2 linked regions of the Callithrix jacchus genome follow. The protein of the gene in region 2 purifies or fractionates together with the protein of the main gene of each other region. This does not show direct contact. Links are inferred from orthologs where the notes say so. Each region holds a gene or a part of one and is shown on either strand. Other genes may lie near its edges.

Region 1 (10,380 bases), on a different chromosome or scaffold from region 2:
ACATCAATCAAGATGAGAACTGAGACTAGATCATTGGGTTTAGCCAATGTGAAGTTCATTTTTGGCCTTCATAAGAATAGTTTTGATAGAGTGGTAAGGACAAAAGCATGAATGGAGTTTAAGAGAGGGTGGGAGCCTACCACTCAGCTGATGATCTATAATATGCCACGTATGTAACCTGGTGTGTAATGATTCTACTACATATATATGGAGTCTTAACATATGTATCATGCATGACATGTTTTTGAGCTTTATATAAATGGTGTTGTATGGTATGTATTCTGCTGTTGTGGAATGGGAAAACTGCAGACAAAGCATAGAAAACTCTTTTAGAAGCTTCGTTGCAAAGGAATTAGAGAAATGGGTGATAGCTGACAGTAGATATAGGTTAAAGAGAAGAATTTGTAGGACTGGAAAAATCACAGCTGCTTGTAAGCTTACCAGAATGACCCAGTAGAGAAATATTGATAATATAGAATAGGGGGATAATTGCTGAAGTGACAGTGAGGATCTTGATTAGTCAAGATAGGACCTTGATCTGTATCTTGGTGACAATGCTCCTTTAGCTAGGAGCATGGCAATTCAACCATGTGAGGATGGGAAAGGCAGAGTAGAGGCTGGTATATGGGTGTGGGTGATGTTGAGATTCTGTGGAAGTTTTTCTCTTATTGCTTCAATTTTCTCAAACAAGGGTAGTAATTGAGGATGATCGAGGGGAGGATATGCAAGTTAAACAGAGAAGGTACAAAATCCAGAAGAATGGAGGAGGGAAGTAGAATTGCTGGACAGCACAAAGGGTCTACCTGAGCTTCATAGTGATGAAATTAAAGTGAAAGTACTCAGTGAGATTGTGTTCTTCCCTAGTCACATTCAGATGCATGAGTGCTAGCTTGAATCAGGATCATGGCTTTGCAAACAAGCAAGCACAACAAAGGGAGAGAAAGGCAATGGGGCTGAGGGCATGTATAAGAGTGATTGTGATTGGCCAGGGGTTGAGGCTGGGTGAGAGCGGATATGAGGCTTCAAGAATTGTTGGAATTAGAGTACTACAGGGAGTGACCTGGAAGACTGAGGTGGTGAATGGGGTGTGAGATGTTTGAAACCGAGATAATGAAGAAGTTGCAGTTTGATAAGGCTAATGTGATTATGACCATGGGAGTAAGTGGCTGAGTTAGGGTATGTGCAAGTTAGAGGACAGAGAAGGTACAAAATCCAGAAGAGTGGAGCAGGGATGTATGACAGAACTGCTGAACAGCATTAAGGGGCTACCTGAGGTTCATGGTGAACAGCGAGGGTCTCCAGCCAATAGCCAGGAAAAGACTGAGGCCCTCAGCCCTGCAGCCTGCAAGGAACTGAATGTTGCCAACAACCACATGAGCATGGAAGCGGATCCTCTGTCCCAGCCTCACTTTGTAGAGGACACAGCTAACCCATGCCTTGATTCCTGACTCAGAGCAACTGTAAGATCACAAAATTGAAGCAATGAGAGATCCCTGGAGAAGAAGAAAAGGAACTGAGAGGCCAGGGTACTAGGAAGATCTTATAACCACCTAGCACTAGGACAGAAGTGGCATTAGAGTGACTGACAGGAGCAAATTGTGCAGAGATGAAGGGGAGTGAGGTCAGCGATAGAGGTACTGGATAGCAAGATTTAAAGCTGCTGGTTTAGAGGAGGAGGGGGATGGTTTGAAAGCAATGTTGAGAAGCAAGAAGGAAACCTACCCCACTTCCAGGCACTGAGAGGCTGAAAGCTGAAAACACAGTTGCCACTACTTGAGAGGTGGAAGGAGAAGCAGTGTTCCACGGCAAAGCTGGGGTTTCCCTTAAGTAAAAAGGTGAAGGGAACCTGAAGAGAAATTCTGAGAAGAGGCTGAGCTTATAGAGAATGCCATTTGCCTAAATAAATAGATAGCATTGTAGACTGAATCTAAAGAAGCCCCATATGATCCCCACCTCCTGGTGTTCATGCCTTTGTGTGTCTCCTTCCCCTTGGCAGTGTAGGTGGTGCCTGTGATTTGCTTCTGGCCAGCAACGTATGGCAAAAGTGACAGGGTATGAGTGACACAGTGTATGTGATGATGTTACATAAGATTGAAACCAGTGTCTTGCTGAGACTCTCCCCATTGCTGGCTTTGAAGAAGCAAGCTGCCATATTGTTAGCTTCCCTATGGAGAGGACCACATGGCAAGGAACAGAGGGGGTCTCCAGCCAACAGCCTGTAAGGTACTGAGGCCCTCAGTCCTGCAGCCTGCAAGGAACTGAATGATGCCAACAACCACATGAGCTTGGAAACGGATCCTTTGTTCCAGCCTCACTTTGTAGAGGACCCAGCTAAGCCATGCCTTGTCTCCTGACCCACAGAAACTGTAAGATCATAAATATGTGTTGTTTTAAGCTTCTATATTTGTGCTGACATTGTTATACAGCAATAGATAACTAATACAGACGGAATGGAAGAAGTTTAGTTATAACAATGTCTCAACTTTTAAAAAACTTCTTCTGAAGTGTATTACCTAAGAATCACATATTGAACTATTATTAAATCATGTTTAGTAATCTATTAGCTGACAGATCTACTTTCAGTTTTGTTGACAGAAAAGATTGGAAAACTATCCGACTTGCAAAATAATTTAATACCCTTCACCTAAGGTCATTTACTTTCTCAGCATAGATACCGATATTTGAATTGCCCCTTTTGGATTGCTGGGGAGGTTCTGCATTGACCCAGTGTACCTTAATAATGAGTAAGAATTCTGACTTTCTTTTGTAAGGTGGGAGGGAGAAGGGTAGTTTTGAAAACAGGTGCTGTGTCCTTAGCTCCCTTCTCAAGCTGGGCAATTTTAGAAAACAGAACATATAGCAACGGAAGATATGGAAATGAAATCCCTTAAAACTGGTCTTCATAAACCCCAGTGGTAAGAGAACACCAGTTTGAAGCTTTAGGGGCTTTCTGGCATTAAAAGAAAAAAAAAAGTGGGGGGGAAATGGCCCAGGATGTGGAGGACAGAATGAGGCACAGAGGATCTATGTGGCGAAGGCATGCGGTGGGTGTAGAGAGTTCTGGGCTACGTGACCTAAGAAATGACTTTAGAACTGGCTCATCATTAGTTTTGGAGGGACTAAAACTAGTCCCAAAGTAGTTCCTGCTTGGTGAAAATATATCATTAATGCGTTTTAAATTAAAAAAAGAAATGCATGCGTCTTGTAAAAAATGAAATAAAAGAAATATAAAGCCAAAAGCAGAGCCTATGCCTTTCCCCACCGAACAAACAGATAACCTAGTTAATAGGTGTGTAGTAGGAGTCGAAGTTCCCCTCCAGCTCCGAGAGTGCTCTGTATCTCCTCCAACAAAACCACCCACACTTGGAACGCCTGGCAAGGCTCTTCAGTAAGGGATTCCTTGACTGTCCTGTGCGTCTCTCGAGTTTAAACACCTCTGGGGCTCGTGATTCGGGGCTGCCGGAGAGGGAAGGTGCGGCCAGCGTCTGTTTCTTACCGAAGTGAACTGCTACAACCTAGCCACGTTCTCCTCCGAGCTGTAGACTGGCTCTTGAAGGCCAATTTTTGTGCCTACGCAGGTCCTCAACACCAAACAAAACAAAAAACCAACAAAGGCCGGGCTAATCACTGTTTATAAACACTTACTGGACGCCCACTCAACGCCGAGCTCTCCTGCGCAGCTTGGGTACTTTTTTGCAAAGAGATGCCAGTGTCCCTGGCGACCACTCCCTCAAGCAGGCCTTCGCCCTCCGCCCGCATCGCGGCCCAGGCCCAGGCCCAGGCCGAGGCCGGGACTCTGAGCCTCCCGCCGGCTGGCGCTGCCCGGCAGGCGCCTGCGCAGAGCGACCCTCCCCTTCACAGGGGGCGGGGGACGGAAGGCGGGGGCAGCCGGGAGAAAGGAAAGCTGCGGGGGAAAAGGGCCAAACCCTGAAATTACCCGGATGTGGTCCCCGCGCGCGCATGCTCAGTGTTCTCTCGACAAGTTGGCAGCAACAACACGGCCCTGCTCGTCGTCGCCGCTGCGGTAACGGAGCGGCTCGGGTGGCGGAGCCTGCGTTCGCGCCCTCCTGCTCTCAACGGGAGGCCTTTCTCGCCCTCCCCTCGGCTCCGCAGTCGCCCAGCGGGTGGGAGCGGGTGAGGGAAGCCGGGTGCCTCGCGAGAGAGGCCCCCCGCCGCGGGGCTGCCCGGGAGCTCGAGGCGGTCCGGTCGGCGCGGGCAGCGGCGCAGCGCTGAGGAGAGGCGGCCTGGCCGGGAAGCCTCGGGGCGGGGGCCGAGGAGCTCTCCGGGCCGCGGGCGAAAGCGACGGGCCCGGAGCGTCCGCGGACCAGCAGCGGCGGGAGAGCGGACTCCCCTCGCCACCGCCCGAGCCCAGGTAACCGCGCCATGTCCCCTCCCCTTCCCCCGGCCTGGCCCGCGCACCCCGCCCGCGGCTTCTCCGCCCCGGGGCGGGCTCCCGGCGGCGGCGGGGAGCGCGCGGATCCGCTGGGAGGGCGACCGTGGCTACCTGACGAGCCGGCCCGGGCGGGCTGGGTGAATGCAGGGTAGCGGTGCCTCGCGTCCCTCCAGCTCCCAGCTCCGCTAGCAGCTCGTGCGAGAATCAAGTTAAACTCGGACGGGACTCCTGCCGCGGCCGCCGCTCCTCTTTGTTGTTCTGGAGTAGTTTCTTGGTCGCCCGGGCTGAGCGCGTTGGGTCGGCTGGAGTGTGTTGCCTTACGGTCTAAATGAAAGTTGTAAATTGTTTGTCTTAATTTATTTTCTCCAGCCAATTTCTGTTTTCTCTTTGTCCTTTACTTTCTCTTCCTAGTCGTGTCAATGCCAGTTTACGCTTCTGTCTTTGATATGTTTAGTTTTTGAGTACTGAGAGTGACGGTGGTATGCCGGACACATTCTTAGCACCTAACTGAACCCCTTCTTCCCCCTATATAACATGCTCCCTAATAAAAGGCACAGTTGATCTTACTGTTAGCACTACGTGTACTGAGAGTGAAATGGGTGTAGGGTGGAGGGCGGTGGCTCCATCACTTGCCCCAAACTGTTGTTAGGATCTCTCAAACTAGATTTTCAAAGACACGAGTATGTTTAGTTAACCTGAAAGGTTTATTGGCTGGTGCAGAGGTTTTACAAAGCCCTGCTGAATATTAATAGCTGTTTCCCTCAAAAACCTAAGTACATTTGTTTTTAATAAAGCGCGCGCGCGCACACACACACACACACACACTCACACACACATTTATTTCCAAATTACTTTCTTAATGCATTTAGTTTTTGCACCGTAGTTTAAGGTGAAATTGCCAGTTACTTAGGAATAATAAATATAACAAGATAATAAGGGAATTAGACTGAGTTGACTTTCTGCAGACATACAATCTTAGCTAATTTTTGTTAATAACCTTTTGACTTTTGTCGGAATTAGAATCCTTTTAGTCTTAGTAGCAGCTTGGTTACTCGGGTATTTAAGAATTAGATTCACTACTTTTTGCTGGCAAAAAACATTTATTAGAGTCTCAAAAAAATGAAATGCATAATGTTGTAATTAGGTTTAGAACATGGCATTTGAATAATTTTTATGGTGGATTTCATAAATTACTTTGCCATACTCTGCCGAGACTAGATATATATTTTTTAGTTGAAATATAGGAAATTCTAAAGTGCAACTTTTTTTTTATGCTGAGGACTTATTCTGTCTATATTGGAAAGTTCTGATGTGATTAGTAGATAACATTCTAAACTGTAAATGATTAACATTTAAAAACACGGATTTTTAAAATTAATGTTTCTTCCATAATGCTGTCATGATTTTGTATACTTAAATGGGTTCCTTAAAGAACAAATGTAATAGAGATAGGCCAAGCATTTATAATTTGGAGTAGCTTTAGATCTAAAGATGGTGATGAATTATGTAGGCTTAAGTTGTTGGAATTAAAACCAAAAGCTTCTTTAGATAAAATTGTTACAATATTTAACTTTATTAATAGAAGTGGCTTTTTCCTTGCTTTCCAGGTTTTCGGGTGAGTTTTTAAAAAGTATGGCATCTTGGGTTTTTTATTTTTGAAGTGGGGGTGTATGGCTCTGTTTAGGTCAGTGCCTTCAGTGTAAATCTTGAGTTTAGAAAAAAACAAATTGCAAATCTGTTTTTCAGACTTAATGAAAATTTGTGCTGAGAAATATTTCACTTTGAAATATTTTGGAATAAGTTTTATGTGGATGATTGACTTTTTATGATAGTTTTGCTGCTTGAAGCAATTCTGCCTATACTAGGAGGCAGCAAATCTTATTTTAGAAAACTTGTGCTTCATTTTCTTTTTTTTTTTTATTGCATTTTAGGTTTTGGGGTACATGTGCAGAACATGCAAGACAATTGCATAGGTACACACATGGCAGTGTGTTTTGCTGCCTTCCTCCCCTTCACCCACATTTGGCATTTCTCCCCAGGCTATCCCTCCCCAGCTGCCCCGCCCCCGTCCCTTCCCTATTGCCCCAATAGACCCCAGTGTTTAGTACTCCCTTCCCTGTGTCCATGTGTTCTCATTTTTCGTCACCCACCTATGAGTGAGAACATGCGTTATTTCATTTTCTGTTCTTGTGTCAGTTTGCTGAGAATGATGTTCTCCAGATTCATCCATGTCCCTACAAATGACACGAACTCATCATTTTTGATTGCTGCATAATATTCCATGGTGTATATGTGCCAGATTTTCCCAATCCAGTCTATCATCGATGGGCATTTGGGTTGGTTCCAGGTCTTTGCTATTGTAAACAGTGCTGCAATGAACATGCATGTGCATGTGTCCTTATAGTAGAACGATTTATAGTCCTTTGGATATATACCCAGTAATGGGATTGCTGGGTCAAATGGAATTTCTATTTTAAGGCCTCTTAAGCTACATTTTAGTCGAGCGATTGATTGTGTGTGAATTCCTTTTCTGTGTTCCTCTTCAGTTTTTCTTTTCCCCCCAAATTAAGGAGCAAGCATTAACCTAATTTGTGCTGCCCAGTCACACTGCAGCTCTCCCACTTGGAAGCAGTTTCTTTCTGATTGAGCCAGTGTTATAGTAACATCATTAGACACCATTCTAATTGAGGTGTGAATTACTGAGGCCTCTACTAGGGCGGTTAACCCTATAGAATCTGCAGGGTTCATTATATGTAAAATGCATATTTAGGCTTGTCTAAATTTTTGTCTATTTTGGTGAAAACAGGTTTTGCTGATGTTTAAATTTAGTTCATTTTGTCCCTCTCTAGTTCATACCTAACCTTTTTTCCATTTTTAATTCAGTGATTTTTTTTTTTTTTAGAGTGACTGGTTCTTTAAGCATCTTTTAATCGGCATTTCAGCACTCATTATATATGTTTGGATTTCTTTTTGTTGGTGTTGTTGACCTGGAAGACTGTGTAGTTACGAATAATTTTTTTTTTTTTTTTTGCTTAGATCGATGATGGATGGTGGCTCTGAGATGACTGTTAATTGTGTATAAAAGTAACCTGACAAAAAATGTTTTGTTATCTACAGTTAAAGGACAGACCAGAATAACACAGCATTTCTTCTTCTTTTTTTTTTGAAATGGAGGCTTGCTCTATTTGTTTGTTTTTGAGATGGAGGCTTGCTCCATCTGAGATGGAGATTCCAGGCTGGAGTCCAGTGGTACAATCTCAGCTCACTGCAACCTCCGCCTCCCAGGTTCAAGCAGTTCTTCTGCCTCAGCCTCCCGAGTAGCTGGGATTACGGGCATGTGCCACCACAGCACCTGGCAAATTTTTGTATTTTTAGTAGAGACAGGGTTTCACCACGTTGGTCAGGCTGGTCTTGAACTCTTGACCTCAGGTGATCCACCCACTTTGGCCTCCCAAAGTGCTGGGATTACAGGTGTAAACCTCTGTGCGTGGCCATAACACAGCATTTAATACAGTTCTGTATATCAAATTTTGGACTTTTTGTTCAACAGTTGATGAAGTCTCAATTGTTGCAAAATGAGAAATTGAAACAGTTGACAAATATATCTAGATGTATTCATTTGAGCTACTTGTAGAGTGATGCTGTTTGCATATGCCAAGCATACACTTGATCATAAGTCAGATTTAGAATTTTTGGATTTTTTTTCTCTCTAAAATGTGTAATTTGGTGATGGGAAATTGGACTGAATCCAGTTTCTCAGGAACAAAGTATTTTAGGTTGTGTCACCTTGACACTTACGTGGTGTATTTGGCATCCGGGAATATTTGTTTTTAACTCTGAAAGTGAGTGAAACCTAGGGTAGTGCTTACATATGTAAAACTAAGATGGTAGATAGTTGGATTCTTATAATTTATAAGGTGCTTATAATCTAAGTCTCGATAAGTTGCTACTGCAAATTGTATCATAGATCAGACAGGTAAGTATCAAAGACCAATCATAAAGAGGGTCTGTTGTTAACATTTTAATCAGCTTAAAATTGGCGATAATGGTAAAGACCTTTTGACTCAAAGACTGTATTTCATTATTTACATTTCAAATGAGAATTTTTTGCAGTTTGGAAAACTTGTAAATGTGTTGAATTTATCTTATTTTGAGACAAAGTCTTGCTCTTGTTCCCCAGGCTGGAGTGCAGTGGTATGATCTGAGCTCACTGGAACCTCTGCCTCCCGGATTCAAGCCATTTTTCTGCCTCACCCTCCCAAGTAGCTGGGTTTACAAGCACCTGCCACCACGCCTGGCTAATTTTTGCATTTTTAGCGGGGGAAACGGGATTTCACCATGTTGGCCAGGCTGGTCTTGAACTCCTCCTGACCTTAGGTGATCTGCCGGCCTCAGCCTCCCAAAGTGCTGGGACTATAGGTGGGAGCCATCTCGCTCAGCCGAATTTATCTTTTTATTGCCTTTTTTACTCCCAAGGTTTAGGGCGATGGTCTCTCCTCTCCTTCTCCCTCTCCCTCTCTTTCTCTTTCTTTCTCTTTTTTTCTCTCTCCCTTTCTCTTCTTTTTTTTTTCTTTTTCTTTTCATCTTGCTCAGTGCCCCAGCCCTAGAGTATTGCAATCATAGTTGACTGCAGCCTTACCTCCCAGGCTCAAGCAGTCCCACCTCAACCTCCCTGGTAGCTGGAACTACAGGCATGCAGCATCACACCTGTCTAATTTTTTTGAAAATTTTTTGTAGAGACAGGATCTCCCTGTGTTGCCCAGGCTGGTCTTGAACTCTTGGGTTCAAGTGATCCTCCCACCTCGACCTCTCAAAGGTGCTGGGATTACAGGCATGAGCCACCATGCCTGGCCAGTTGTTTTCAGTCTTGGCTGTACTTTTAGATATCTTTGGGAGTTTTACAAAATACTGATGCCTGAATTGCAGCCCCAGAAATTAATGTGATTAGGTTGGTCTGGGGTGCAGCCAGGTTAGCCCTCCACAGTGATTGAGCCATTAGGGTCCTCTGACTTTTGAACTGCTTCACTTGTGTTAGCTTTACATTGTTTAATACGGTGATAAACATATGCACAGTGTAGTCATTTCACACTTAATGGGCCTTTTGAAAGTATTGCCATATTTGTTTTGCTTCTGTGTCTGTCTCCTTTCTTTCTCTCCCCCTTCCTATCACATATTCCTTTCTCCTGTTTCTTTACTTTCAGTTTATTTGAACTGTCTGGTAGTAAGTTTTAGGAAGCTGTATTTCCCATTATGAGTAGTTAGTATATCATCACTCTTTTAAATAGGAAGTTGGTCTTCTTTTAAAGTATATTCCCAAATGCTTACTTGTACTCCTTTTGGAGACTGATTACTTTAAGTCCCTAAGTTAGCATCTAACTCCCGGTGGGCTTGATGTGATGGCTTACTCTTGTAGTCTCAGCGCTTCCTGAGGCTGAGGTGGGAGGATCACTTGAGCCCAGGATTTCAAGGCCAGCCTGGGCAACAAAGTGAGACCTTGAGTCTTAAAAAAGAAATAAATAAAACTCCTAATGCAAATTGTCTTCTTAGGGGGTTAATCTACTTGGAAACCATAATGTTTTCTAGCCACCAGTTAACTAGTTACTTAACCAGTTTCTGAGACGCAGGTTGCATTGGGCTTTTTCTGTCAGGGCTTAACTTACACGCTGCAAGACAGTTGCTCGGCTAGGCCAGCTAGCTAGTACGTCTTTAGAGATCATCGAGGGCATGTTCAGCTCTCCATTTACATCACCTGAAGTAGTTCCCAAGTGCTGGGCTATGGAGTAGTTTCATCTCTCTCTCTGGAAAAGCTATTTTAAAAAATAAAAATATTTTTTCCCTGCCTGATTGTAATACACATGCTGCTTCAGAATGGGAATGGAGTGGAGGAGACTTGGGAATCTGCATTTTTCAAAAAGTGTCTCTTGATTCTAAGGGCTTTATTTTAGTATGCTTATCCTTCTTGCTTTATTTATCCATTTGTCTATCTG
Region 2 (4,151 bases):
TGGATGTTCAGAGCATCAGACCCCTGCAGCCCACTGACCCTCTGGGGTGTCTGGCCTTGAGAGTTGGTCCCTGATGATCCACTGGGAGCAAAGTTCATAATTCCCATGTTGCTGGTGGTAGTAGTAGTTGAGTAGCTATTGGCATTGGTGAAAAAGGAGCTGGAACTGGGTTGTGATGACACCAAGCTGGCAGAACTGATGGTAGTCCCTGAGGTGACAGGCTGTGAGCCACTCTCCTGGGACCCAGAGCTGCTGATCGTGACTGCCTGAGAGCTCGGAGTCAAGGTAGCTGCAGAAACGCTGTTGACAGGTAGCAAGGTGATGTTCCCATTCAGGGCCACTGGTACATTGGTCACATACTGAGTCTGTCCTGAGAGTACATTATTAGCTAGGCCTTGGAGGGGGACAGCCTGCTGGAGTAGGTTTGGCATAGCAGCAATAATGTTGCCTCCACTTCCTCGATTTGTGATAATCTGTTGGTTTGCACCTGGTATGATCTGTATTTGACCAGAACCATCCTGCTGCACTTGGGTCCCAGTGGCAGCAAATTGCAGCTGCTGCCCATCAACAGTCTGGAACTGTGGGATTACTTGATACTGAATGTTAGGCATCACTCCAGGTAGTCCTGTCAGAACTTGCTGGTTCTGTAAGTTGGGAGTGGCAGCCACAACATACTGCCCACCAGAGACTGTGCGATTCTTGGAAGATTCATTGCCACTGCTGCCATTGGTACTGTTGCCACTCTGTTCCTTTGAGGTAGGGGTAGCCCCAGAGGAGGAAGAGATGATCTGCCAGCCATTGGCACCCTGTGAAAGTTGTGTGGCTGTGAGGTCAAGCTCACCTGTTCCCCCTGACTGACTTGGGCCCTGGGAGTTGTTGCTGTTCTCATTGGGTGACTCAATTCTGCTGCAAGTTGCTGCCAGCAGAGCCAAAGGGGATGGCTGGGACTCCTGGCCGAAAATAAGGGAGAGGAAAGGAGTTAGTGACACCCAGCTGCCAGCCTAGGGGGCAGTATACAACAAATAAAAAGCAACGTAGTGCAGACAAGGAGCAAAAAGCAGAAACAAAAAGCTGACCTATCTGTATTGCTGAAACTCCTGTCTTTGGGGATCTCCAATCTCTGTGCTTACTTCCTTACCTATAAACTGGTTTAGTCCCTCCCTAAAAAGCTTTCTGTGAAGAGTAAGGCAACTATCTAATAATATTTACATCCTCTGAACACCTTCCCCACTCTGTGATGATCACTTACCTGCCCTCCTCCTCCAGTGCTGCTGCTACTGCCTGTGCTGCTGCTGCGAGCCTGTGAAAAGGCACCACCATTACCATTGCCCCCATTATTGCCACCAACTCCTTTCTCAATCTTCACCACAGCTGTCATTTCATCCATGGAGTGATCTTGGTCTGAAAGTATTAAAAAACAAGCAACTTAAACTGGAGGGAAGAAAAGAAGTAGGAAGGATAAAAGGAGGCTATGATGAAACAGCAATGACTAACAGGAAGGCAAAAGGCGCCAGTATAAAGAAAATGGATTAGAGGACAGAGGGGAGCTGCAGGGCATGCAAGACATGAAATAGGCTCAATGGTGCCAAAAGTGGGCCTCACTTCTCCCTTGCACAAAATTAAACTAAGAAAACATTCAAAAAGTGCTTTGGGAATAGGAAATGTGAAGGATGGTAGGCATGTTGAAAGAGTTTCAAAATGAGAAAAAGTATCCTGGGGGAAACAAAAGAAAAGAACAGGTAAGGCAAAAAACAACATGTGGGTGGATGGAAAGCTTGCTAAAATTAAGGTTAAAAGAGATGGAAAGGCCGGGCGCAATGGCTCACGCCTGTAGTCCCAGCACTTTGGGAGGCCAAGGCAGGCAGATCACCTGAGGTCGAGAGTTCAAGACCAGCCTGACCAACATGGAGAAACCCTGTCTCTACTAAAAACACAAATTAGCCGGGCGTGGTGGCGTATCCCTGGAATCTCAGCTACTCGGGAGGCTGAGGCAGGAGAATCACTTGAACCTGGGAGGCAGAGGTTGCAGTGAGCCCAGATCTCACCATTGCACTCCAGCCTAGGAAACAAAAGCAAAACTCCAACTCAAAAAAAAAAAAAAGAAAAAGAAATGGAGAAAGAAAAATCCAAGTGTGAAAAGTAACAAGAGGAGAGTGAAAAGGGAGGGAAAAAAAAGTAAAAAGTGTGAGTAGGAAAGCATTTGTGAATACTGATAAGGGACTAAAGGGGTCTACGGATTAGTAATCAGGAGGTTTCGGGGCGGAGGGCGGGCCCTCAGGGAAAGGGCGGTTTCGGGGTGAGGGGCGTGGAAAGGGCGGGACGGTGGGGGGGAGGCGAAGGGAAATCTACGGAAAGTGGGGGGAGGAGGGCCTTGGAGCAGGGGCGGACCAGGCCGGCGGTTGGCCCGGGCGGGGCCTTCACTGCTCGGGCCGCCCCCGCGGCTCCAGCCCACGGCGGGAGGAGCCTTAGGCTGTCGGCCGAATAGTGGGGGGTAAGGCCCGTCCCCCGTGGCCGGGGCGGGCAGGGGGCGGGCGAGGCCACGCTGCCCCCTCCCCCGGGGCGGGCGGCCCATCCCCCTCCTCCTCGGAGGCCCCGTCACTGCCCCGTCTCCCTCCCTTCCCTCCGCCCCGGGCGGGACCTAGGCCTCCGCCGCCGCCTCCCGCCCGCCCCCCCCTCCCGGCGGGGATCGCCCGGTCGGCCCTCGCGCGCGCCCCCTCATTCCCCTCCCACCCCTAAGCTTGGAGTGGACTCATCCTTACCGCTCATGGTGGCAGCTGAGGGACAAGCTCAAGGGGGTCCTGTCGGGGGGGGTTGGGGGGGGCCGGGAAAAACGCGGACGCTGACGAGGCAAGCGAACCCGGACCGGACAGGGAGGGGGGGGGTAAGGAGGAGGGAGCAGCGCGCCACAAGCCCAACCTAGGCTCCGCCCCTTCGCTGCTGCCCCGCCCAATGAGGGAGGGGGAAAGGAGGGACTTGCAGAAGAAAGACGGTGAGATAATCCAATGGCAAGAAAAGCTTGCTCTCTAAGGCGTGTATGACTAAGTTGCGTGCCTGGTGTCCGCCCAAAAAGACTGTCCTCTCAGTATTAAAAGCCAATGAAAGATGCAGGAAGTGAAGATGGGCGGGAACTGAAAGTGATTGGCTTCAAAAAAAACCAGTCAACCGGCAGGCGGGCTCCCTGAGACGTAGGGATAGGGAAAACTTTGATAGGAATGACAGAACAACGGCCAACCAGAGTCCGGGATGTGCTTGGGCAAAATCCTAGTGGGAGGAGAGGTAAGAAGTAGGCAGGAATATAATAGGATGAAGCTGATTAAAACCAATCAGAAATCAGGCGGGCAGCCAGGGAAGTTATGATTGGATTAAGACTGAAAAGAGACAGGAAAGGACGCATATTGACGTGAACTAAAAGCCAATTAAACGCCGAATTAACTCTGAGGGCGGAAACTTGGAGCGGGCAGAGGAGAATTGGCTGCTCCCTCAGTTATTCAATCCAATGAGGAGACGAAGTAAGCCTGGCACCGCCTCCTAGTTGGCCAATGGGAGTTACTGGAGCCGCCCATCATGAGGGAGGGAAGAGGGCTGTGCCAAGAGGAGACCGTCGCCATATTGGCCCTCTTCGGGGGACGTCGTTGCATGTATTTAGTTGGACGCTTTAGCGGAGCCCTGCGGCTCAACAGGCGTTGGAGCCAAGGCAATCGGCGCGCAGTTCTGCCTCAACACCAGGACTTGTTTGAGTCTTCATTTAACTGTCCCTATGAATAACGTACCTCTCAAATCTTAAACCCTCCCGGGGCGGGCAGACAGGCAGTCAGATGCATCATCTCGCCGCAAGCCTTGCTAGTGCAGGCGGGAGATCTGGGAACAGCGCTCACCAAATAAGTTAATACTGAGCTGACCAATATGCAGAGTCTCCGTAAGAGTCGAGAAAACGCCATTTTATTAAGTTCCCCCAGACAAAGGCTCTAACCACTTACGGCTGGTTAACTTTTCAAGAGCTTTGAGGCTAAGGTGCAAATAAGTCACTTCCATTTTTCTCCCTTAATAGTAAATACCGCCTGTGCATAAAGCAAGATAGCTGAGCTCCTGCTTTTTGCAATCACGAAGGTTAAGAAACTTTACTGCAGGCACCTGGATTTCCGGCCTCCACT

What was found.
Region 1: the proteins of SP1 (region 2) and SMAD4 purify together in Homo sapiens (affinity purification with western blotting; 4 studies listed by BioGRID and IntAct, with this or other methods). This does not show direct contact. The link is inferred for Callithrix jacchus from reciprocal best matches to the Homo sapiens genes SP1 and SMAD4.

Annotation. Positions count from the first base shown.
Region 1 is NC_133514.1:94,254,583-94,264,962, forward strand, and holds the start of SMAD4 (mothers against decapentaplegic homolog 4), read left to right. Parts: upstream 1-3,966; 5' UTR 3,967-4,372; intron 4,373-10,380. UniProt on the Homo sapiens protein: In muscle physiology, plays a central role in the balance between atrophy and hypertrophy. When recruited by MSTN, promotes atrophy response via phosphorylated SMAD2/4.
Region 2 is NC_133510.1:66,168,782-66,172,932, forward strand, and holds the start of SP1 (transcription factor Sp1), read right to left. Parts: upstream 2,801-4,151; 5' UTR 2,767-2,800; coding exon of another isoform or gene 2,760-2,766; 5' UTR 2,573-2,759; coding exon 2,389-2,572; intron 2,317-2,388; exon of another isoform or gene 1,871-2,316; intron 1,402-1,870; coding exon 1,250-1,401; intron 951-1,249; coding exon 1-950. UniProt on the Homo sapiens protein: Transcription factor that can activate or repress transcription in response to physiological and pathological stimuli.